Linked DNA regions of Danio rerio. The protein of the gene in region 1 purifies or fractionates together with the protein of each later gene. This does not show direct contact. Links are inferred from orthologs where the notes say so. Each region holds a gene or a part of one and is shown on either strand. Other genes may lie near its edges. The genes, in order: dmd, sntb1 and sntb2.

The links.
Region 2: the proteins of dmd (region 1) and sntb1 purify together in Homo sapiens (co-immunoprecipitation; 4 studies listed by BioGRID and IntAct, counting the BioPlex papers as one, with this or other methods). This does not show direct contact. The link is inferred for Danio rerio from reciprocal best matches to the Homo sapiens genes DMD and SNTB1.
Region 3: the proteins of dmd (region 1) and sntb2 purify together in Homo sapiens (co-immunoprecipitation; 4 studies listed by BioGRID and IntAct, counting the BioPlex papers as one, with this or other methods). This does not show direct contact. The link is inferred for Danio rerio from reciprocal best matches to the Homo sapiens genes DMD and SNTB2.

Annotation. Positions count from the first base shown.
Region 1 is NC_133176.1:12,341,731-12,349,414, reverse strand, and holds part of dmd (dystrophin), read left to right. Parts: coding exon 1-141; intron 142-983; coding exon 984-1,154; intron 1,155-1,515; coding exon 1,516-1,695; intron 1,696-3,272; coding exon 3,273-3,395; intron 3,396-4,873; coding exon 4,874-5,044; intron 5,045-6,555; coding exon 6,556-6,672; intron 6,673-7,684. UniProt on the Homo sapiens protein: Anchors the extracellular matrix to the cytoskeleton via F-actin. Ligand for dystroglycan.
Region 2 is NC_133191.1:15,591,342-15,599,568, reverse strand, and holds the start of sntb1 (beta-1-syntrophin), read left to right. Parts: upstream 1-3,523; 5' UTR 3,524-3,573; coding exon 3,574-4,078; intron 4,079-8,227. UniProt on the Homo sapiens protein: Adapter protein that binds to and probably organizes the subcellular localization of a variety of membrane proteins. May link various receptors to the actin cytoskeleton and the dystrophin glycoprotein complex.
Region 3 is NC_133200.1:37,486,159-37,494,619, reverse strand, and holds the start of sntb2 (beta-2-syntrophin), read right to left. Parts: upstream 4,155-8,461; 5' UTR 3,900-4,154; coding exon 3,356-3,899; intron 1-3,355. UniProt on the Homo sapiens protein: Adapter protein that binds to and probably organizes the subcellular localization of a variety of membrane proteins. May link various receptors to the actin cytoskeleton and the dystrophin glycoprotein complex.

The DNA.
Region 1 (7,684 bases):
CTGAGTGAGGTGAAGTCTGAGGTGGAGACGGTGATAAAGACGGGGAGGCAGATTGTGCAGAAGCAGCAGACGGAGCAACCCAAGGAGTTAGACGACAGGCTGACGGCCCTCAAACTCGCTTACAATGATTTGGGTTCACAGGTATGAGAAAACAAGGCTTGAGTGTAAAACGTGCACCATAGTATCGGTTTTGTTCAGTTTCTCATTGTAAATTATTATTACTTTACTTTTTAGAGCAACACAAACTCCTTCAAAAACATGATGTTACACATTTACACATTTGTTAAACACCCTTGAAGGTGGTTAATTACATTTTAGTCAGGTGCACTTCTTATCTCAAGGACTCCCCACAAGTTACACAAAAATCAGTAACTTGTGGGGAAAATAAATAACACTACAATTCAAAACTTTGAGGGCAGGGTTTTTTTATTTATATATGTAAAAATAATACATGTTAGATGTAAAAAAATAACTTCAAATGACCTCCAAATTTCAAATGAAGCTGTTCTCTTAACTGTTTATAAAAGAATCCTGAAACTCTCCAAGGTTTCCTCATATTCATTTTATTTGAATAATTTACTAATTAAAATGAATGGTTAAATGATTGCATTTGATTGATTGATTGAATGAGTGACTAATTGACAAAAAATATTAATTGATTGATTGATTGATTGATTGATTGATTGATTGATTGATTGATTGCATTTGACTGATTAATTGTTTAACTGAATAGCTGATTGATTGATTGATTGATTGATTGATGGATTGATTGATTGATTGATTGATTGATTGATTGATTGATTGATTGATTGATTGATTGATTGCATTTGACTGATTAATTGTTTAACTAAATAGCTGATTGATTGATTGATTGATTGCAAAAGGATTTATGGATTTGATTGATTCCTTGACTGTCACAATTATTTATTGTGATTTGATTTGTCATTGATTGATCAAAATGATTGTTGTTTTGCATTGCGCAGGTAACAGAAGGAAAGCAGGAACTGGAGAAGATTTTGAAGTTACTGAGGAAGTTTAGGAAGGAGGTGAACAGTCTAACCGAATGGCTGGCTACTACTGATGGGGAACTGACGCGCCGCTCATCGGTGGAGGGTATGCCAAGTGATTTGGATGCGGAGTTGGCTTGGGCAAAGGTGAATAAATACTTAAATTTCAGCAGCTTTGTATGAGTCTAAACTATTTGCAAGTCATTAAAGTAATAGTCATCCCATAAAATTACAATTTTGTTATCATTCACTGATTGTAGTGCTCTTATAAGTTTCTTTTCTCCAACGTTCTGATATTCTTTTTAATATATGAAGTGGTGGGAATAACTATTAGAAAATCTTCTTTAGTGTTAAACAAAAAATTTAATAAAATAGGAAACCCATAAAGATTTGGAAATACTTGAGGGTGAGTTAATAGTGAGTAACTTTACATTTTTGGGTGAATTATCCACTTATCCAAGGATAAGCATGATTTTTTTTTAAACATGATTTTTGTTTTCCTACCCAGGCAGCGCAGGAGGACACTGAGCATCATAAGCCACAGTTGAAACTGGTGAGGGAGTTGGCAGGGACCCTGAAGGGTTTACTTCATAGCCAAGAGAACCTGATTGATGACAAGGTCAGTTTGCTGAACTGCAACTGGATCGCAGTGACGTCACGGAGCGAACAGTGGCTCAAACTCCTGCTGGTGAGCAACAACCGCTTCGTAGCAACAGTCTGACCCTGCTCTGAGTCATTTCATTGTAGGCAAAATATTTCTTAAGCTAAATGTGCCCTACAAGGCTAAATTCATTTCCTTTCAATTTCACATCTCCATATTGTTCTTTTAAATCCAGATGGCCATTTCTGGAGGCGGCAATAATGTTATGAAACTTTAAAGCATATTTATCTCCTGCTCTTCTTTATTACCTTTTCTACTGCTCGCCGTTTCCACATCTCATCTTTTATCTTTCTGACTATGTTTTCTACCTTATTCCGCTTTGTAAATAGCTATAAATATCTTGGGGACAACATGTCAAGAGATGAGGCTTAGCCTTGAAGCTAAAATGAAAGGATTAAATAAAAGTAAATTCATAAAATGAAGATTCTGTTAATGTTTTCTAACTTATATATTATTTACCTTATATGTCCACATAGCACAAAAAGAAAATGTTTAATAATATATTTTTCAATTTTTTGCATGCAGTGGAAGAAAGTCTAATGTTTCACAGGTGTATATCAGAGTTTATTAAAAAATAATATGGCATTCTAGGGCTGCACAATATATTGTTTCAGCATCGGTATCGCAATGTGATCATTCGCAATTGTCACATCGTACGATATGCAATGTTGAGTCTATATTATTATGTTATTATTATAAGCCAGAATTTACATGTTTTTTTTAAGCCTTTGACTGCATTCACGGCCAAGAAACGGTACCGTTTGTAACTTTAATAAAGATTCATTTTATTGAATTATTATTATTATTATTATTTAGTTACTACACCAGAAGACTATTAGACTCGGAAAAAGATAAAAAATTCAGTCGTATCTTGTATTTTTTTTATTGCATTGATCTATGCTTGAAGGTGGTTAATTATATTTTAGTCAGGTGCATTTCTTATCTCAACCGAACCAATCTAAAATAATTAATCCTTTCCAAATCGAAGTATTCAAGTCTTCTGCTAAAATGGTAATCATATCACAATATCGATTTTTCCAGTAGTGTGCAGTTCTAACGTATACAGTGTAATTAAGTTAAGATTTATGCATGATTTATTTTTATTTGGTAGTCAGTCAGTATTTTATATTGTCCTGTTGTAATTTCTGCTGATGATACGGTTCTCATCTGAAGTTTCAAAGAAACCCTATTAGTAGTTGATAATTAAAATAAAACACATTTAACACATACACTCGCCGGCCACTTTATTAAGTGCAATTAAGGGTTAAAGCAGTTCCAAAGGCAAACGTGTTTACAACCCGGTACTAGTAAGTTGTACCTAATAAAGTGCCCGGTGAATGTATCTGTTAATGGCCACTCAGAGAACCAAAATTAACTCTGATGCTGTTTCTATTTTTCAAAGCTGTATGTTTCGCTGTTTTTTTAACATGCAATGTTTGTAAGAACACAACCGTGAATAAATAATAACAGACAGTACATTTTTGGATAAACGTTTACTTTAACGTAGCATCTACTGTAATATCACAGCCTGTTATGGAGCATATTTCTTTATGCTATTAAGCGAAGCTGAATGTAAACATACAGTATCTCCATCTGCCATGCAGGATTATCAAAATCAAATGAAAACACTTGAGCAGAACATTTCTCAGATCAACACCTGGATGGATCGCGCAGAAGAGAAGCTGGATGAGATGGACAGCCAGGGCTGCATTGAGCACGTTATAAAGGTCTTCAGACACTCACAATATGCTTCTGCACTTCACAACCGAATGTTTTCTGTTTTTGAGGACTAGAGACGGTTTTATGCAGCCATACTTTTGCATCAAATTAAAGGAAAAGTTATCCATCTTTCTTTGGCAATGATGTTTTGATGGCTCATTAATTGGAGGCAATTTGCAGCAAATAAAACTCTAGATTAAGCCATTAAGGAGAACAAAACAGACAGATGGCCAAAAAATTGTATTTTAGATTTAGAATACAGATCATCATTCATCCGTACCATCTATACATTAAATATAACCGTCTTTTGTAACTTATTACCTAAATATTTGGTAACACTTTACAATTTGTGTAAGTTAATGAATTAGTTAACATGTATCAATGACGAAAAACACATTTGTTAAGCATTACTTATTCTTTAATGGTAACTAAACATATAATAACATGTTAGTTGATGGATTAGTTAACATGAACTGAAGGCGAACAATGTTTGTTCAGCATTATAATCTTTAATAGTTGTTAATGTTTAATTGCAATGCAATAACCAGAACAATTAAGTTACAGTAAGTAGAATTTTTTTTCTGTTTGTAACAAGTGATAAAAACTAGAAAATCTAGAAAAATTTAATTATAAAAACCAGTAAATTAAGTTGCTGTAACTATAATAAAAAACTACTTCGTTAGTTAGTTAGTTCTAACTTAAATGTTGTAATTAGCACAACTTAAATTTTCTAGCTAATGCAACTCAATTATTCTAGGTCTTATACTGTAACTTAATGTTTTAGTTAGCACAGCTTAAATATTCTACCTAATGCAACTCAATTATTCTAGATCATATACTGTAACTTAATTTTGTAGTTAGCACAACTTAAATATTCTAGCTAATGCAACTCAATTATTCTAGGTCTTATACTGTAACTTAATGTTTTAGTTAGCACAGCTTAAATATTCTACCTAATGCAACTCAATTATTCTAGATCATATACTGTAACTTAATTTTGTAGTTAGCACAACTTAAAATTTCTAGCTAATGCAACTCAATTATTCTAGGTCTTATACTGTAACTTAATTTTGTAGTTAGCACAACTTAAATATTCTAGCTAATGCAACTCAATTATTCTAGGTCTTATACTGTAACTTCATTTTTGTAGATAGCACAACTTCAAATTTTTAGCTAATGCAACTCAATTTTTCTAGGTAATATACTGTAACTTAGTTTTTGTAGTTAGAAAAACTTAATTGTTGTAATTACTGCAACTTTTTTTCTAGTTACCGCAACTTAATTTTTCTAGTTCTTATAACTTTTTTTGTAGTTCTCATAACTTACTTTTTTGTTACTGCAATTTAATATTTTTTTTGAGTTTTTAATTGTCAAGTGTAATTGTATTTTTTTTTTTTTTGCAATACCTATGAATTAATCAGATTTATAGCATTTATTCTAAATGCATCATTCATAACTGATTTGTTGGTGTTTTCTGAATGTTCAGGGTTTGCGAATGGAGTTGGAGGAGATGAAGGGGAAAGTTGAAGCAGTGCAAGTTCTAGCAGAGGATCTTATAAAGAACACAGGGGAACATTGTAAAGCTCAAGTGAAACCAAAGCTTGAACAGCTTAACCAACGTTTTGACATTGTTGCAAGAAGGATTTTAATGGGACAGGTAATGCTATGAAAAGGTGCATGCCTATACACTACCTGACAAAAGTCTTGTTGTCAATCCCAGTTGTAAGAGCAACGAATTATAACTTGACTTCTAGTTGATCATTTGAAAAAGTAGCAGAAGGTAGATTTTTCAGATGAATCAGATCAGATGAATCAGTACTGCAGAAGACCTATTGAAACCAGCATGGACCAAATATTCTCACTGAAAGTAGTCAAGTTTCGAGAAGAAAAAATCATGATTTGGGGTTACATTCAGTATGGACCAAGCTAGAGATCTGCAGAGTGGATGGCAACATCAACAACCTGAGGTAACAAGACATTTGTGCTGCCTATTACATTACAAACCACAGGAGAGGGCAAATTCTTCTGCAGGATAGCACTCCTTCTCATACTTCAGCCTCCACATCCAAGTTCCTGAAAGCTAAGAAGGTCAAGGCGCTCCAGGATTGGCCAGCCCAGTCACCAGACATGAACATTATTGACCATGTCTGGTAAGATGAAGGTGGAGGCGCAGAAGATGAATCCAAAGAATCTTGATGAACTCTGGGAGTCCTGCAAGAACTCTTTCTTTGACATTCCAGATGACTTTATTAATAAGTTATCTGAGTCATTGCAGAGATGTTTGGATGCAGTTGTTCAAGCTCATGGGAGTCATACACAATATTAATTCTCTTTCCACTGCACCATGACTTACTGTACATATACTGCACATTATTTCTGTTAAGTGACAAGACTTTTGTATAAGCAAAGTCAGACCTTGCTGACCTTATTAAAGAATTAAAAATCAAGGCATGATCATGTTTTATTTTGGTAAAATAAGAGTCACCTAAGCCTTTGTCTTTCATGCAAGCCACTTCTGATACCAAATGATCAACTAGAAGTCAAGTTATTATTTGTTGTTCCTAAAACTTTGATAGGCGACAAGACTTTTGTCAGGTATTGTACTGTATATGCATACACTATAAAACATATGCTGGGTTGCCGTAACCCAATGTTGGACAATGTACAATATGGACAAACCCAACTATTTGGTTTAAAAGTGTCATTTAAATGTAATTGAAAAAAATATCCCAACACTGAGTTTGTTTTTGTTTGACCCAATACTGGATTACAACAACTGAGCATTTTTGGTGTATATATGCACAGAATTCACATTATTTTTTTCATATAAGATAAGGATGTGGCCTATTATCCAAACTGATACTTCTTATCATATAATTTCAATGTGTTTTCATAGTTATAAACATACTGGTTAGTAGCAAAAGTATTTTTTTCTAGTTGTTTACATATCACCACCTTGGAATTGTAAGGGTTTATCTCCATTCTGAGCAGTTTTACGTATTTCAAACTAACAAGGACATATAAGAAAAGTGAATTTGAATCTGATTTCTCTCCCTCTGCTGAAGCTAAATTCGTTAGCGACATTGTCTTATTATGCCACTTAGAAAATAGATTTTTTTTCAATGAATATAATTGGATTTGAATGTATTTGATCATATTTTCTTCCAGGCCTCCTCCCAAGAGTTAGACGAGTACCACAGACAGGCTAATATATGGCTCCAGGTGCTGGACGAGGAGATTAAATTAGGTGAAAGTCTAAAAGAGGAAGATTTCCTGGAGGATGCGGTAAGAAAATACTCTCAGCTGTTTCTTTGGCTAAAATTAATTTCAGTCATTGGAACCGCGCGGCCTGCGAAAGGCTCCGAGCTTTATCGTAAAGATCTCATGACAAGAAACGTAATGAGTTTCAGTGAGCGGGTCTGCTGCATGAGTAACAAATGCTGGCACAGAACGTCATTGCATTCCATATATCTATCAGATAGACGGATGGATGGTTGGATGGATGGATGGATGGATGGATGGATGGATGGATGGATGGATGGATGGATGGATGGATGAATGGACGGACGGACGGATGGATGGCAAATAGATGTGTACTATAGATAGATGGACAGATCAACGTAAAAATGGATGTGTGGATGGATGGTAGATAGAAAGATCGATAGAAGTATGGATTGATAGATGTGGTTAGACTGTATATTAATATGATTTACACTATATTAATATAATATGACTGATAGATTGATAGATAGATAGATAGTGGATGGATGGATGGATGGATGGATGGATGGATGGATGGATGGATGGATGGATGGGTGGATGGATGGATGGAATGATGGATGGATGGAATGGCAAAAAGATATGTAGATAGATAGACAGATCATCTGATTAATGGATGGATGGATAGATGCTATTATAGATAACTAGATGATAAAGAGAATGATGGATGGATGATGGATGGATGAATGGATGGACGGACGGATGGATGGATGGCAAATAGATGTGTACTATAGATAGATGGACAGATCAACGTAAAAATGGATGTGTGGATGGATGGTAGATAGAAAGATCGATAGAAGTATGGATTGATAGATGTGGTTAGACTGTATATTAATATGATTTACACTATATTAATATAATATGACTGATAGATTGATAGATAGATAGATAGTGGATGGATGGATGGATGGATGGGTGGATGGATGGATGGAATGATGGATGGATGGAATGGCAAAAAGATATGTAGATAGATAGACAGATCATCTGATTAATGGATGGATGGATAGATGCTATTATA
Region 2 (8,227 bases), on another chromosome or scaffold:
TTCTGTTCTGCCACATCTTAAAGGTGCTCTGTCTATTGGACTGAGATCTGGTGACCGTGGAGTACAGTGAACTCATTTTCATGTTCAAGAAACCAGTCTGAGATGATTCACACTTTATGACATGGCACGTAATCCTGTTGGAAGTGGCCATCAGAAGATGGGTACACTGTGATCATAAAGGGATGGACATGATCAGCAACAATACTCAGGTAGGCTGTGGCATTGACACAATGCTCAATTGCCAAGAAAATATCCCCCACACCATTACGCCACCACCACCAGCCTGAACTATTGATACAAGGCAGGATTGATCGATGCTTTAATTTTGTTGACACCATATTCTGACCCTACCATCCGAATGTTGCAGCAGAAATCAAGACTCATCAGACCATGCACGTGAGTGACTGATTAGAAATTTGCATTAATGAGCAGTTGGAGAGGTGTACCTAATAAAGTGGCTGGTGAGTGTGTGTATATGTATGTATGTATGTATGTATATATATATATATATATATATATATATATATATATATATATATATATATATATGTGTGTGTGTGTGTGTGTGTGTGCGTTTTTGTGTGTGGGCGCACACACACACACACACACAGACTCTGGCACATATTTTACCAGTGGATGCCCTGAGAGTACACTCACTTGTGCAACCACCAGTCCTGGGAATTACCCACATACTTACCTATTCAAACTCTTTGCTTATTGTAGTTTGACCAATATACTGTATGTCTTTGTACTTTGCAAAGAGAGGACAGCCATATCACCCTGTAGTCCAAGACTGGTTACTCACTGAAACTAAGCAGGGCTGAGCGTGGTCAGTACCTGGATGGGAGACCACATGGGTAAACTAGACTGCTTTTAGAAGTGGTATTAGAAAGGCCAGCAGGAGACGCTCAACCTGTGGTCTGTGTGAGTCCTAATGCCCCAGTAAAAGTGAAGGGGACACTATACTGTAAGTGGGCACTAAGTGTGGAGAGACTGCCCCTCATGATTGTGAAGCGCTTTGGGTGTATGGCCATACACAATAAATGTGCTATATAAATACACATTACATTACATTACAAAACTCATGCAGGCGCGAGAAGAACATAAAAACTCAAACATGGAACCTTGGGTGAACCATGCCTTAAAGCATCAACTTGGGATGGTACATTGATGAAGAAAAATCGAAATTAGTTAGCACTCGTGTCCCATTTAAAGTCTCAATCTAAAATTCTGAAAGAAATATTGCCATTAAGGATATCATGCGTTGACAGACACTATAGTTACTGTAGTTTGAGATCATTTTCGGACTACACAAATAGAAGTTACCTTGTCGAAGTAACAAAAGTGTACGACTGCATCTGTCTTTCACCCCTGAGTCTTTCTCTTTTCTCTGTACACCCGAGAGCATGAACGTTTCAACATGGTTTTTTATTTCAACTCTAATGAGCTGCATGTGCCTCCCTGCTGTTTCACAATCATCAGGGACTGACAAAAAGTACTTTCACAATTCAGAAAAAAAGAAGGAAAAGTCATTCCCTTTGGTACAGCAGCCCTTGTAAATTTCAGTCACGGATTCCTGCAAGCTGTTTTAGGGATAACCTGTACATTTCATGCAAGTCTTAATCCTTAAATTTGTCCCAATCAAACCCAGAGAGACATGAAACAGATTTAGAACACTTTTAATTCAATGGAACAATGGCATTGTTCTCAGTCTTAATGAAATCAGTCTTGTCATGTTTTTCCACTGTATTGAATTGGATAAAAATGTTTGCTTCACCGTCAACAAATCAGAAAGGAAATGCAACATGAAACAGTTTTTAAATCCCTATCAGTTTGGCAACAATCTGTAGAGAAAATGATTACTTTGCTAATTTAATCTTTAGCTTTTTATTTTCCTTGCTTTGATCATCAGCCAAGCACAGAGGTGATTGCTTTATTCAAATATGCACATATTGTCAGATGTTACTATTTTTTTTTATCTTAGTTATATCTTGTTTCTACATTTTACAGTAGCAAGACTTCTTTAATTGAAGTCTCAAATCTCTTTATAAAGTGCTCTGCAGAAGACGTGGGAAACATGTTATAGCACATGCAATAAAAAAAAAAATTGGCAAAGTAAAAAGAAGCATCAATAAAATAAGTCCAAACATTATTATTTATTCTAAGTTTAAAGGCTTTGAATGATAAAAAAATCAATAAAACAAAAATAGGCCCTTCATTCATTCATTTACTTGTCGGCTTAGTCCCTTTATTAATCCGGGGTCACCACAGCAGAACGAACCGCCAAATTGTCCAGCACGTTTTTACGCAGCGGATGCCCTTCCAGCCGCATCCCATCCCTGGAAAACAACCACACACACTCATTCACACTCATACACTATGGACAATTTAGCCTACCCCATTCACCTGCACCGCATGTCATTGGACTGTGGGGAAAATCGGAGCACCCGGAGGAAACCCGTGCACGCGAACGCAGTCGGAACATGCAAACTCCCCACAGAAACGCCAACTGACCCAGCAGAGACTCGAACCAGTGACCTTTTTGCTGTGAGGCGACAGCACTACCTACTGCGCCACTGTGTTGGCGAAATAGGCCCTAGTGAAAGACAAAAAGAAAATTAATTAACAGAGTTCAAACAGCTTCAAGTCCAGTGTACTGAAGTTATTTCAAAAATGCACAAACCAATATTAAACACCAGATGGCGCTAAAATCGTTTACGCCACTAAATTGTAGACCGTCTAGATAATAGGAACACCGCAGTTTTTTTTCGTGAGAAAAAACAAGCAAAACACATAAATGTTTTTATCATCTTGCTTGAGAATAATCGACATAATTGTTCCCCCAGTTATGTACATTTAAAGAGAACCATCAATTAATGTGTTAAAAGGTGCAAAACAGATTATTTCCCAAACCGGCACAGTGATGGAATTACAACAGCGGAAATCCATGTTCAGTACTTAAAACAAGGCGCTAATTATAGGTGGTTACTGTGTGTTTTTTTGAAAACATGCTCTTTATAAATATAGCTGTATTTTATTATATTTGGCGTCTCCCAACCACATGAGTGGCGTGTTTCCACGAGGTAAACAAACGCTCGTGAACGTTCAGCTGAGGCAAGTTTAACGGCAGGATTTTCAGGAACATAACTTTTCTAACATTAACGTACATTAGCCTTGAAAGTCATAATAGAGTTTGTAAACACGCAAATTGAATACCAAGTGACAGCTAAATGCAATCTGAAGCCGTCTGCCATTATTTTTTGCAAAGACATAAATGAACATTACTTTATGTAATCTCCGTGTGGAATGTAATGTATCTATCAAATACATCGATGTATTTAAAAGATACATCCCACACGGAGACTTGAAACGAAACATTTCCTGACAGCGAGAGGCAGTTGAGCATGGCCACACAGGACATCTCAGACATTTGCTCCACCCAAAAAGGATATGCATGTGGAGCCTGTAGAGGGGCTGAAACTATTCAACCTGAATCACAACTTTTTCCCTGTTCGGGGGTAAAGTCCTGTACGAGTGTATGAAATCACATGGCATTTTAAGAATGCTTCAAAGATGGCGGTTTGCGGTAACAGAGTGCAGAAAAGTGCATGTTTGGAGGTGCTGGTGCGGGAGCAATGGCACGCGGTGCTGGCGAGTTTAGGGGACGAGTCTCTGACGCTCAGCTGCGAGGATCCCGCGGCGGACACCAGCGTCAGCCTGAACGGCATCACCACCAACGGCTCCTACGACCAACCGGACCCCACCAACAGTCCCAAAACCGGAGCGAGAACTCCTTTTTCGGATTCACAAGTGCCCGAAGCGATTGCGAACCGCAAGAGATGCGTCAAAGTGATCAAGCAGGAGGTCGGTGGATTAGGGATCAGCATCAAAGGCGGGAAGGAGAATAAGATGCCTATTCTCATTAGTAAGATATTCAAGGGTCTGGCCGCGGATCAGACTCAAGCGCTGTACGTGGGCGACGCGATACTGTCCGTGAACGGGATCAATCTGCGGGACGCCACGCACGACGAGGCGGTGCAGGTGCTGAAGAAAGCGGGCAAAGAAGTTATGCTGGAAGGTAAGGACGAGGAAAACGCCAGAAAACCTGCCAGACAGGCTGAGTTTTGATGAGGCTATATGGGTTATTATCAGGTGTGTGGATGAACCTGTTGAAGTGACACGGCAGGGTGGATGCTGTATCATAATGCATACATAAAAATATATGCATTCGTGTGTTATAACTTTATATACACATAACATTTTATAGTTTTCCTCTATGAGGAGTTGTATTTTATTATGGTTTAGATTTGAAAGAACACATAACATAAGACTTGACCAATTGAATAATAAGAATAGAACTTTAAAAACAAACAAACAAAAACCTCAAAAGTTCAAAGTCAATCAGAAATTACTAAACCCATTTATTCAAAGATAACATTTGTTTGAAATGTAAAAAAAAAAATACAAATACACATCACAATAAGTAATGTTTATTCACATACGCTAATGTTTAAATGCAAATTGGCCAATGTTACAAGCTACAGTGTCAGTAAGGGTTATGGCATGTTCACAGAATTCAGTCACAAAGTTGTTAGATATGGGAAATGCAGTATGTCTCATAAATATAACACTAAATGTTTTATAAAGGGTTACTGAAGTACTACAACTATGCAACTTGTTAATTTCCTTTGGGTCACCAAATATGATGGGTTTTTTACGCAGCAAATTGCTTGGCTAAATAAACAAAACCCCACCCTAAACCAAATAAATACAGCAACCTGAGCTGGTTTAAGTTGTTTATTTATTTATATATTTATTTATTAAAGCAGGTTGATAATTAATCCAAAAACAAGTCCTTTTCTCACACCTGTGGAAGGTCATTGTCAGAGTGATGGAGGTTTTTGCTCTGCCCTCCGGTGTTGTACATTAAGGATGAAAGCACCCTTGAGAGTGACAAAGCTCTGAAATTCCCTCTGACTGAATCATAAAAGCACACCACAGATTTCAGAGGGACATCCATAACTTTCATTCCGCTCAGTCATGTTGAAGATTTCCATAATACAACTGAGGATTTAGAAATATGCTTAGATGAAGAAGACTTGCAATGGCAGTTAGGCTTGGAATACCCACACAGTCGAGACAGAATATGTATTAATTTAGACTGTGTGGAAAAGATCTAAATTTGTTGTTATTTTAAATAATTATAATATTATAGGCATAATTTACCCAAAAAATGAAAATTCTGTCATTATTTACTCATCTCTAACATGCTTTAAACCTTTCAGTTTATTACATCTGTTGAACACAAAGGAAGATATTTAGAAAAATATCGAAAACCTGTAATCATTGACTTTCTTCGTAATATCTTATTTTGTGTTCAAAATCAGAAAGACACGCATACAAATTTGGAATCACTTGAGGGTGAGTAAACAGTGAGTTTTCAATTTTGGGTGAACTAACCCTATAATTTTGATAAAAAACTTTGAGCATTGTGCTCTACAAAATATTACAATATTTATTATCGAGATTGTAATTAACCAGCTGTATCTACACCCAAATATTTAGAACAGAGTATACTAAAAAATACTACAACTGAAAGCAAAGCGCTTTAAATAGGCAAAGAACTACTCTCTGTGAAGTGTTGTGGATAAATATTAAAAACAATGGAGAAATAAAAAATTAAGTTGTTATAAGTACTTATCGAATACATTTTCAATGTTTATTTCAAAATGTGAAAATTTTGAGTGTAGGAGGACTTCATGTGAGTGCGTTGAGTCAAAGATCTCATTTGGCACACATTGCACACTGCCACTTTCTGGGCCCTATCATACACCTGGCGCCAAAAGGTGCAAGACGTGTTTGGCGTGATGTGTTGCTATTTTTCAGCGCTTTGTGGAATCATGGGTGTGTCGGTCTAGAAAGGAGGTATGTTAAGGTGCATTGTTGGCACATTGCTATTTTGAGGAACTAAAATTTACTGTGCAATTGATCAGCTGAAAGCAGGTCTAAAGTGCAGCACAGAGCGCGTTAGTTGTGCGCCTTAAATGCGTACATATTGCTTAGTACACACAGGCAATGTACAGCAATATGCAAATTTACAAATGAAAAAAGGAACTAAAGGATTAAAATATTACAAAATTTATTTTCCACATAAATATAAAAACCGCCTGCTCTGTTCTTTCTTCATCTCATGGGGCTTTTTTCACTTTATTCATGACAACTTACTTTCATATAATGTTATTATTATTATAATGATGATGATGATTATTATTATTATTTATATGCATATTTATATTTGTTTTAATACAAACAGGCTAGGGCTGCTCAATTATGGGAAAAATCATAATCACGATTATTCAAAACGATTATCAGTTGAAGTCAAAATTATTCGCCCTTCTATGAATTTATTTTTATATATAAATAGTTCCCAAATGATGTTTAACAGAGGATTTTTTTTTTACAGTATTTCCTAAAATATTTTTTCTTCTTATTTCAGCTAGAATAAAAGCAGGTTTAAATATTTTGAAACCTATTCTAATAGCTCAATATTATTAGCCCCCTCAAGCAATATATATTTTTGATTATCTACAGAAGAAACTACTGTTATACAATGACTTGCCTAATTACTCTAATTAAACCTTTGTGTCACTTTAAGCTGAATACTAGTATCTTGAAAAATATCTAGTAAAATATAATGTACTGTCATCATAGCAAAGATAATATAAATAAGTTATTAGAAATGAGTTATTAAATCTGTTGTGTTTAAACTGTGCTTTAAGCATCTTCAATGTATTTTTTATTTTATTATTGATTAATAATCAATAATATTAATGCTGAAAAAGTTACATTACAGCACATGCTTTTAGTCACTTTCACGTGGAACTGAGCTTTGCAGAGCAACACGTGTACAACTGGAAAAGGGGCGGTATGTGATGGAATAATCGTTTATTTAGATTAATGTTTTTTTTTATAATCTGATTTTTGATTAATTGCACAGCCCTAAAACAGGTTTAGAATTGTCCACCTGTCTGGTTTTTGACCATATGGGGCATAAGACGTGTGTTTGGATATAACTCCAAACATACTTTGTTAATATTGCTCATTTATTCGTTTGCTGGAAATAAGAACTGAATTTAGAAATAGTTTTGAAACAAATGTTTGTGCATAACAAACAAAATTTAGTATGTAGGCTAATGTATGTCTTCAGTGGAGTACATACAACACCATTTCCACGAAAGGAGTAAAGAGTAAAAGTGAGGAGAAAGCGAAAGTAAAGAGGCCGAATGAAGGAGGCTCGTTCTTTATCCTCTCACCGCAGATGGTTTGTTTAACTGTTTTCTTGCTAGTGAAGTGTTCAGTATTTCCATTTACAAAGTCCACCATGTAAATAGTAAATGTGTCATGGCGCGACTCAACTTCTCTTAAAGGGAATGGGAGATGAGACTCTCATTGGTTTAGTACACGTTATTCTCGAAACACACCCTAAAGCAGGTCGCACACCAGAAGCGCCGCTCGGCGTCGCGCCGCGCAGCGCCATGTATTTTAGAATTCTAAACATAGGTTTCTATCAGGATACACACACCGGCGCCGCAAGTCGGCGGCTGTCGGCGGCGCCCGGCGACGGCTCAGGACGCAGTTCATTTTTCAGCCGCGCCACAAAGCGCCATCTGATTAGTTTCATGTTAAATATCATTCAAATGTGCGCGTCTGGTGTGCGATACTTTAATCTGTCATGTACGCGCCGTGTCGCGGCGCCGAGCGGCGCTTCTGGTGTGCGACCTGCTTAACTCATTAAGAGAATACAACCATGTTAGACCATGTTCTGCAGCGCAAACTTTATTTTTCCATCTTTAAAATAGCAAAAGTGGATTTGGACATGCCCTTGATGCCTTGCGCCCTGTGCTTTAGACTTTGCTAATAGATTATTGGTCCCTCTGATTGGTATTTTTCTGTACAGCTTAATGGGAAATTCAGTTGTACTTTCCCTGCATAACTACTTTTTAAACTCCCTTTTTGTAAATAAGATAAAAAAAACAGATGGCCTAAACCTCAAAGCTCACAACAGCTGTCTTTAAAGATTTATCAGTTGTTAAATCCGTTTCTTTGAGTATAAATGTTTCTACTTCTGGAAACTGTTTTGCTCTGTATCCATTTCTGTTCTGCATTTCTGTATTTGTGCCTTGTACAGTCCCTGTCACACAATATATTGTTGTGGCCTGGAGGTGTT
Region 3 (8,461 bases), on another chromosome or scaffold:
TTATAAATTGTCTACTCATTTTTGTTCATATAGCTATCCAGTACATTTTATATATTACCAATGAAGTTTGAATTGCACATGCAATCATATTGTTTATCCCTTATTGTTTCACAATATTTATTGTAACAATACCTCTGCATTCTTATCAAAGCACATCATTACTCCATATTACACTGTATTGTTTGGTTATAATTTTGTTATTTTCAAAATGCAAATTTATATATGAACAATACAACAAATGCATATCTCTATATGAAAACGTATAGCTTGGCAACAATTAACCATTACACTATCCAACAACTTGTGTTTTTAATTTTTCTAATTAAATTAATGTAAATTAATTTGCAATTGGGCTTTTGCATATCTGGAATTATTTGGTGAGTGTATCAATTCTGCATATTACATAGTAAGTTTATAACTCACTTTATGATAAATTAACTTGGCGTTCATATTTAGCGTAATCTAATTTAAAGTATACATTTATGAACAGGACATTTAATAATCTGGGAGCGTTGACTTCAAATATATTATGTAGCCATGTATCTTTCACCCCCCCCTACTGGACGCATTAGGAACAACAGGGGTGTAAAGCTGTGGGGCGTAAAACTGCCTGGATCCAAGTCTGCAGACGCCCCATATAGCCGAGAGGCGCTTCTGGTGTGCTTCCTGCTTCATACAGAGTGAACCAAAGCACATTGGTGCCAATATAATGAATTAATTTTTTTTTTTTTTTAAATCGCGATTTCTCGATTTGATTCAAAATTAAATCGTCTGGAAACGTAAATTCGAATTAATCGAAAAAAATCGCCCAGCCCTAACTTTCCCAATTCTAAGACTGTATCTGACAATTAGTCACAGGCAAATAAACTTTAGTGACAAGGCAGCAAGTGGCCTGATCGGGCCAGTAATGATCCTGTCTACTGTCCCGAGCATCTCACACGCTGGCCTGGCAGTCCTTATTGTTGAGCCCTGATTGGCATCATTTATTTCGGTGTTTCGGTATCTGCTAAGAATTTTCATTTCGGTGCATCCTTATTTTGCATTTCTAATGGAATATTCCAGCATTGGTGCAGTATCATGGGATCATTTCTGAGCCATTTAAAGATTCAGCTCTCGGTTTAATTAGGCCAGTGCTGATGAGGATAATGAGTGTGTGAACAGAGCTCATCTCACGAGACCCCGCTCCACAGTTCTCATCAGTCTCGGTGTCTCTCAGGCAGGAGATTGAGCAGATCAACATGTGTTTCACTGAGCTGATGGACAGGGCGTATAATGGAAGTCAACGGGGCTCTTAAATGTGTTATCCTGGAGGCTCAGTGCCAGTGCTGGGGAGACATTTAAATACCACAACACTCACTGGACTCCACCAATGTAAACTCTGCCTGTGCCAATATTGCGTTTAAGTCAGTTTTGTTTAACTATTTGTAAATATGAAAATTAAGCACCAAGTAAAAAAACTGATATTTGTAGAAATATTTGTAAGCTGACCAAATTTACACTAAAATAGGAATCAGATATTAGGTTTCGATCCAGAAAAAATAAATCATTTGCATAAATAAATTTGACTAAACTATAATATTTTGTAGGAAGAATTAATTAAATTAAATGGTCATTAATTAAAATTTTTATTTATTGTCACTGTACAAAAATGTGTCATGATTCCACTTATTATATTTATCTTTTATTAATCACAGCTTTTCGCGTGTTTTTGCAATACAAATAATTTTTATTACCATGATTTTTGTTGTTTTTTAAATAATAAGATGATATATCCCCTTAAAATTTTAGACCATATCAACAAAAGTAACAAATCCAATATTTTGTAATATAATAATAATAATAATATTGCTGACAAATAAAATTTCTAATTAAGTGAATTACATTATTTAAAGATATTAAAGACTTTTATCTGCATTTTTTTCATGCTACCTACAATTTTTGCTTTTATTTTATAGTTTTTTTGTTTTATAGTCTACAAACTTCGACACAAAATTTGTGGGACTATTTATTAGACAATGTTTACATGTCAAAACGATTCTTTCAGGCCCACAAAATGCATACAATTTATATAATTTAGTTTGAAAAACGTGTTACATAGATTTACTCTTAGGTACGAGACTAATGAAAATAAAGTCGCAAAACAGATTCTTTCATTCATTCATTTTCTTTTCAGCTTAGTCGTTTTATTAATCTGGGTTCGCCGCAGCGGAATGAACCATCAACTTATCAAGCATATGTTTTATGCAGCGGATGACCTTCCAACCGCAACCCAGCGCTGGGAAACACCCATACACTCTTGCATTTACACCCACACGTACACTACGGCCAATTTATTCAAATCCCCTATAGCGCATGTGTTTGGACTGCGGGGAAACCAGAGCACCTGGAGGAAACCCACACCAACATGGGGAGAACATGCAAACTCTACACAGAAATGCCAACTGGCACAGCCGGGGCTCGAACCAGCAACAATCTTGCTGTGAGGCGACAGTGCTAACCACTGAGCCACCGTGCCGCCCAAAACAGAATCTTTACTAGGAAAAAAATAGTGGGGCTGGATTTTTACACTGACTGTGGTTTGCTATTGGTCAGTCACACTGAATGACACCTTGACTCCGCCTTCATGCCAGTGAACACCAATCAAAGAAGAAGAGCCACTGAAGTGGGCGTTATTTTGAAGAAAACTTGTATGAAATGTTATTTATTTAAAATTAAAAAAAATGTGCAAAGACAATAATTAATAATAAATATCGTACTAAAGTGTTTCAACACCGAACTAAAATATCATTCAAAATTAGAATTTTTGTATTGCAGAATATGGGTATTGCAAATCAGAGTTATTGATAGATGTTTAGGGGATAAATCAATCATTAGATAGATAAAAAATATATAAATAAAAAATAATACTGTGATTTCACCAAAAAAAAATGAAGTTAAAAAAGTACAGTAATACAGTACATCTGTTTATCTATTCCTCTTTTACTGTATTACTCCCATTCCTATTCAAATCATACCTGGTGTTTGGAGAAAATTGCTATTAGAGAAAAAAAAGTTATCTGCTTATTACCACAAAAAACCTTCAGTCATGCACATCACACATCTGTAAGTTTCATAACTTCAGTAAGGGGTTTCCAAACCTCTTATAAACCTGAATTATCTAATATGTCAAATGAGCCAATGTTTACAACATGAACAGTTAAAACTCAACACAATAAAACCTGAAACACCTCAAAGTTTCTATTTAGGCGTGTAAATTATGAACACATAAATAATTAATTATTCAAAAAACTTTGTTTTGATTAACGGTAAACTACAAAGGCCTACTGAATCCCCGCGGCTCGAGTGATTGACTTACCCTCCAGCGTGACCTCCTTCCCAGCCTTCTTCAGCGCCTGCACCGCCGCGTCGTGCGTAGCGTCGCGGAGGTCGCTGCCGTTGACGGACAGTATCGCGTCGCCCACACGCAGAGCTCGACTCTGATCCGCAGCTAAACCGGGGAAGATCTTTGATATTAGGATAGGCATACGGTTCTCCCGTCCCCCTTTAATGCTAATCCCCAGTCCGCCGGACTCCTGCTTGACTATCCGAACTCTGCGTACCCCCTCCGAGTCACAGTAACCGCTGGACTCCGAGTCCGACCCGGTCCCGTTAACGCGACCCGGGCTGTTGTCGTATTGCACGCGATTCGTAAACACATCCCGGTTCTGTTCGTTGCCATTGGAAACGCCGTTTTTCAGATGCGAATTGTGCTCCGGGTAACCCGCGGGCCCGCCCGGTTCTCCCTCCGCCGTGAGAGTGAGGTTGTCCCGCGTGAGCTCCGCTGACACCCGGACCCAGCGGTCGCTCAGCAGAAGGTCCAGATGACCCTGTTTCTCCGCGCGGGTCCACACGGCCATCATCAAACTTTAACTCATCCTAAAGTTTAAACTCGCTCGACACACCCACTCGCACGCACATTTCCCCTGAGGAAGGAAGAGGAGCGAAATTTTAATAATAAATCTGTTTAATAAGTTTAAACATTGGTATTTATTGCTGCAGCTCTCCGAGTTCGGGTTCTCACGGCACGGAGAAACTATTTAATTAAAAACACGCGCTGCTGCTTAGACCGGACGGCCGGAGAAAAGCGTTAGATTTGTATCTCATTGATTATTCATGAGAGGGGCGGGGATTGTCAACTTATTTATCTTTCCTCGCCGCACTAAAGCCACTAAAGCTGTACAGTGATTTAGAAACAAAGCGAAAATAATGGCGTAAAATTACTTCAGTGTCATCATTACTGTATGACTTTTGTTCTTATTATAATGCAGCTTTTAGTTGTAATAAGATAGATAGTAGGAAAACAAAGATAACTCTCTCATTAATAATTAATCAGATTCAAATCTTTATACGTTGAATAAGTTAATATCCAACAACAAATAATAATAATAGTTATTGTTAGTATTATAATTAATATAAAACAAAATAAATACGTTTTTAATATAAAATTTTAACTTGTCACTATTTCACAGACAGTTAAAAGACTATTGGTGAGCTAATTTAAGTTTTTATAAATAGATGGGATTATTAGTTAATTTTCATATTTACTGTTTTCATTTTAATAGAGAATTAAATTAAGCTTTAATAATCCTTCCATCCCGATACCATAAAGCAAAGTCCATTTTCATCTGTAGCTGAAGGGATTGAAGCTCTATTGTATTGAAGTCATGTGTTTGGTAAATCTGCTGGTCAATATAACACATAAGTGTTTTTGCCCAAAATAATATTGACTCGCAGTAAAAGATGTTGACTGTTCTCATTAGCTTCAAAGTGTTACTCATACTCTAAATGACTCACCTCAGCTTTAAAAAAAAACTCTAATACACAGCTTTATTTTATTTATCACAGTTGACAGAAAATTTATGTATGATAATTGTTTTTCCTTACACTAATTAATGTAGTCGTGTTGTTTTGAATTTGAGGGGGGAGGGGGGGGAGTATTCAAAATACAGTTTTGTGTAAGCGTTTGTGAATATGTTTATAGCACGAATATGGAAAAGAGGGAAAACTGATGAATCAACTGAGGATCATCAGGAACAACCATCACAAAGTAAAATAAATAAATAAGAACATAATTTCAGCTATTTTTCTGTCATGTAAACATCTTTGTTGTAAAATTTAGAATTGAAAAAAACAGCCTATGAACTCCTCAAAATGATTAATAAATTCAGAATTGCAGGAAGAAGAAAAAAACTAATTCAGAATTGTAATATAAACAAAGAAACATGAGATAGAAAAGTATCTCTGAACACACAACATGTCCAACCTTGAGGCGGATGGGCTACAGCAGCAGACAAACACACCGGGTGCCGCTCCTGTCAGCTACGAACAGGAAACTGAGGCTACAATTCACACAGGGTCACCAAAATTAAACAATAGAAGATTGGAGAAACGTTGCCTGCTCTGATGAGTCTCCATTTCTGCTGTGACATTCAGATGGTCGGGTCAGAATTTGGCCTCAACAACATGAAAGCATGGATCCATCCTGCCTTAAATCAACAGTTCAGGCTGGTGGTGGTGGTGGTGTAATGGTGTGGGAGATGTTTTCATGACACACTTTGGGCCCATTAGTACCAATTAATCATCGTGTCAACACCACAGCCTACCTGAGTATTGTTGCTGACCATGTCCATCCCTTAATAACCACAGCGTACCCATCTTCTGATGGCTACTTCCAGCAGAAGAACGCCGTTAAGTGCCAAACATCTCAGACTGGTTTCTTGCATGACAATGAGTTCACTGTACTCAAATGGCCTCCCCAGTCACCAAATCTCAATTCAATAGAGCAGCTTTGGGATGTGGTGGAATGGGAGATTGGCATCATGGATGTGCAGCTGACAAATCTGCACATTCATGATGCTATCATGTCAACATGGAGCAAAATCTTAAGAATATTTCCAGTGCCGTGTCGATTCTGAAGGTTAAAGGGGGTCCAACCTGGTACTAGTAAGGTGTACCTAATAAAGTGGCCAGTGAGTGAAGTCACTATTAACAACGTACATAATAAAATACCAAAATATAACACACCAACCGCATCTGTAGTATGGAAAAAATGCTCTGGAGAGTGATTTGTGGCATTGGTTTTATTGCAGACCTTACAAAATAAGAGCTCGAGCTGTGGACGGGAAGGCCACTTTATTACTGGATCACTGTTACCTGCTTCATTCCGACCTTCACTAATCAGTCAAACCAGATAAATACATCACACTCCGATGCTAAACCAAACTCCAAAGCATTAAAAATACATTAGCTTTTAAATATGCATTTACTAATGTACTATATGAGGATCTCTCCTATTAGCACGGCTCAGATACATAGCATTACTTTCAAGCTCGAATCAAGGAAAAGATGAAAAAAGGATTGTCTTTTATATAAGCCTTCTTCACGTTGTGGTTAGAGGTACATAGTGCGGGAGAGGGTGATAAGGCATGAATAATTCATATGTGATTCGCATCTCTATCCTTGAAAAGCCCTGTTCACATCCAGAATGAAAACTATAAAGCTATGTATATATTACAACTTTAAAGGGGACCTACTGTGCAAAAATAACTTTTATAAGGGGTTTAAACACAACTGTGTGGTGACAATCTGCTAATATAACCAGCTTATACTTGTAAATATTTATTAATTTTAATTTTCATGATCAACTTTAATAAAAACAGTCTGCAGAAACACTTTGACTGATGTTCTCCCTTTGTATGATGAGGGGGAAAGCCCCACCCACTCAATCTCTCCCTCATTAGCATATTACATCAGTCTTGTTGTTGAATCTGCCACTATGCTGACACACAGGCATTCGTGGCTCCGCCCTCTTCTGAAAAGAGCACAATCTCATTTGCATTTAAAAAGACAGTCACCAAAAATGCCACAATTTGGATCAAATCTTAAAAGGGGCCATTTCAAAGCATTATAAATCGTTATTTGTGTGGTACTTTGAGCTGAAACTTCATGCACACACAGGCTGCGTCCGAAACTGCCTAATACTCAGTAGGAACTGCATTTGCAAGTAAACGTACTACTCGGCCGTTAGAAAGGTACATTTTATACAGTATGAATTTTGAAAGTATGAATGGAATTCGGACGTACTACATCCGCCATTTTGTCATGGTCACATGACCTACCTGCATCAGTTGCGTCGCCTCACTTCCATTCATGAATTCTCTTAACGGGTCATTTTGGGATAGCGCAGCGTGCATGGAATGCACACTCCAGAATCTCGCCGGAAGTAGTAAGTCATCCAGGTACTTCTCGCCAACTGATTTTCGAATTCTATGAATTCGGACATACTAGTCGGCTCGCATACTGATTTTAGCGTACTATATAGTATGGAAGTATGCGGTTTCGGACGCAGCCACACTCTTGGGACATCAGTGACTCATTTTAAATCTTGTAAAAAAGCAACATAATAGGTCACCAGTGGCGTAGCGCAAAATGCGGGGGCCCCCCTGCAGGGACCACTAACGGGGTCCCCTCATGAGGGGAGGGGGCGATCACAAACTGTGGGGACAGGGAGAGTAGGTGGAGCGACGACACGAGGAAGCGATCATAAATTGAGGAGCGGGAAAGGGGGATGGGGTGGAGTGACAACGCGGGGAAGCGATGACAAACTAAGGAGCGGGAAAAGGGGGCGGGGTGGAGTGACAACGCAAGGTAACATTTACAAACAAGCTGCGAAAGCATCAAAGTAGCCGGAAGTCATACAATTTCAATGAGAACCAGTGGCGAGGAGCAGTGTGGCGCGTCTTCTCCGGTGTGGGCATCGAGGAGGACTTGAAATCAAATCAACTTTATGGTAATGAGCTATGACGCGGTTCGGCGGCTAGCAATCAGAATAAAGTAGTCCACCGTTTGAGAGGAGTTCAGAGAACACAGACCTGGGAACTTTGGTTCTGACCAGTTGTTCCCAGGGGTTTGATTATTGCGGTTCCCGGATTTTCAATTATTTAAAAAAAAAAAAAAAAAAAACGCACCGACGCGGGACCCCTAATCACGTGGGGCCCCTCCCCGCGATGCGTGAACTGCAGGCCCGTCCGCTACGCCAATGTAGGTCACCTTTATTGATAATAAACTATAAAATATTTTATTTCAAACTTTAATGAACTAAAAACAACAATACTGTAGAACAGGGGTGGGCAAACTCGCTCCTGGAGGCCCAGTGTCCTGCAGACTTGTGCTTCAACACTAATTAAACACAAACCTGAACATGTTAATCAGTGTCTTTGAGATCACTAGAAATCTATAAGCTGGTGCGTTTGCTTAGAGTTGGAGCTAAACTGTGCGGGACACCGGCCCTCCAGGACCGAGTTTGCCCATCCCTGCTGTGGAACAACTATAATAAATGCTATCGTGCACTGGTGTGGAGGCTAACTGAGTTAGGCTTATAAGTGATTAAGTTGTCACTTTAAATGCTCAAGGTCATTGAAGC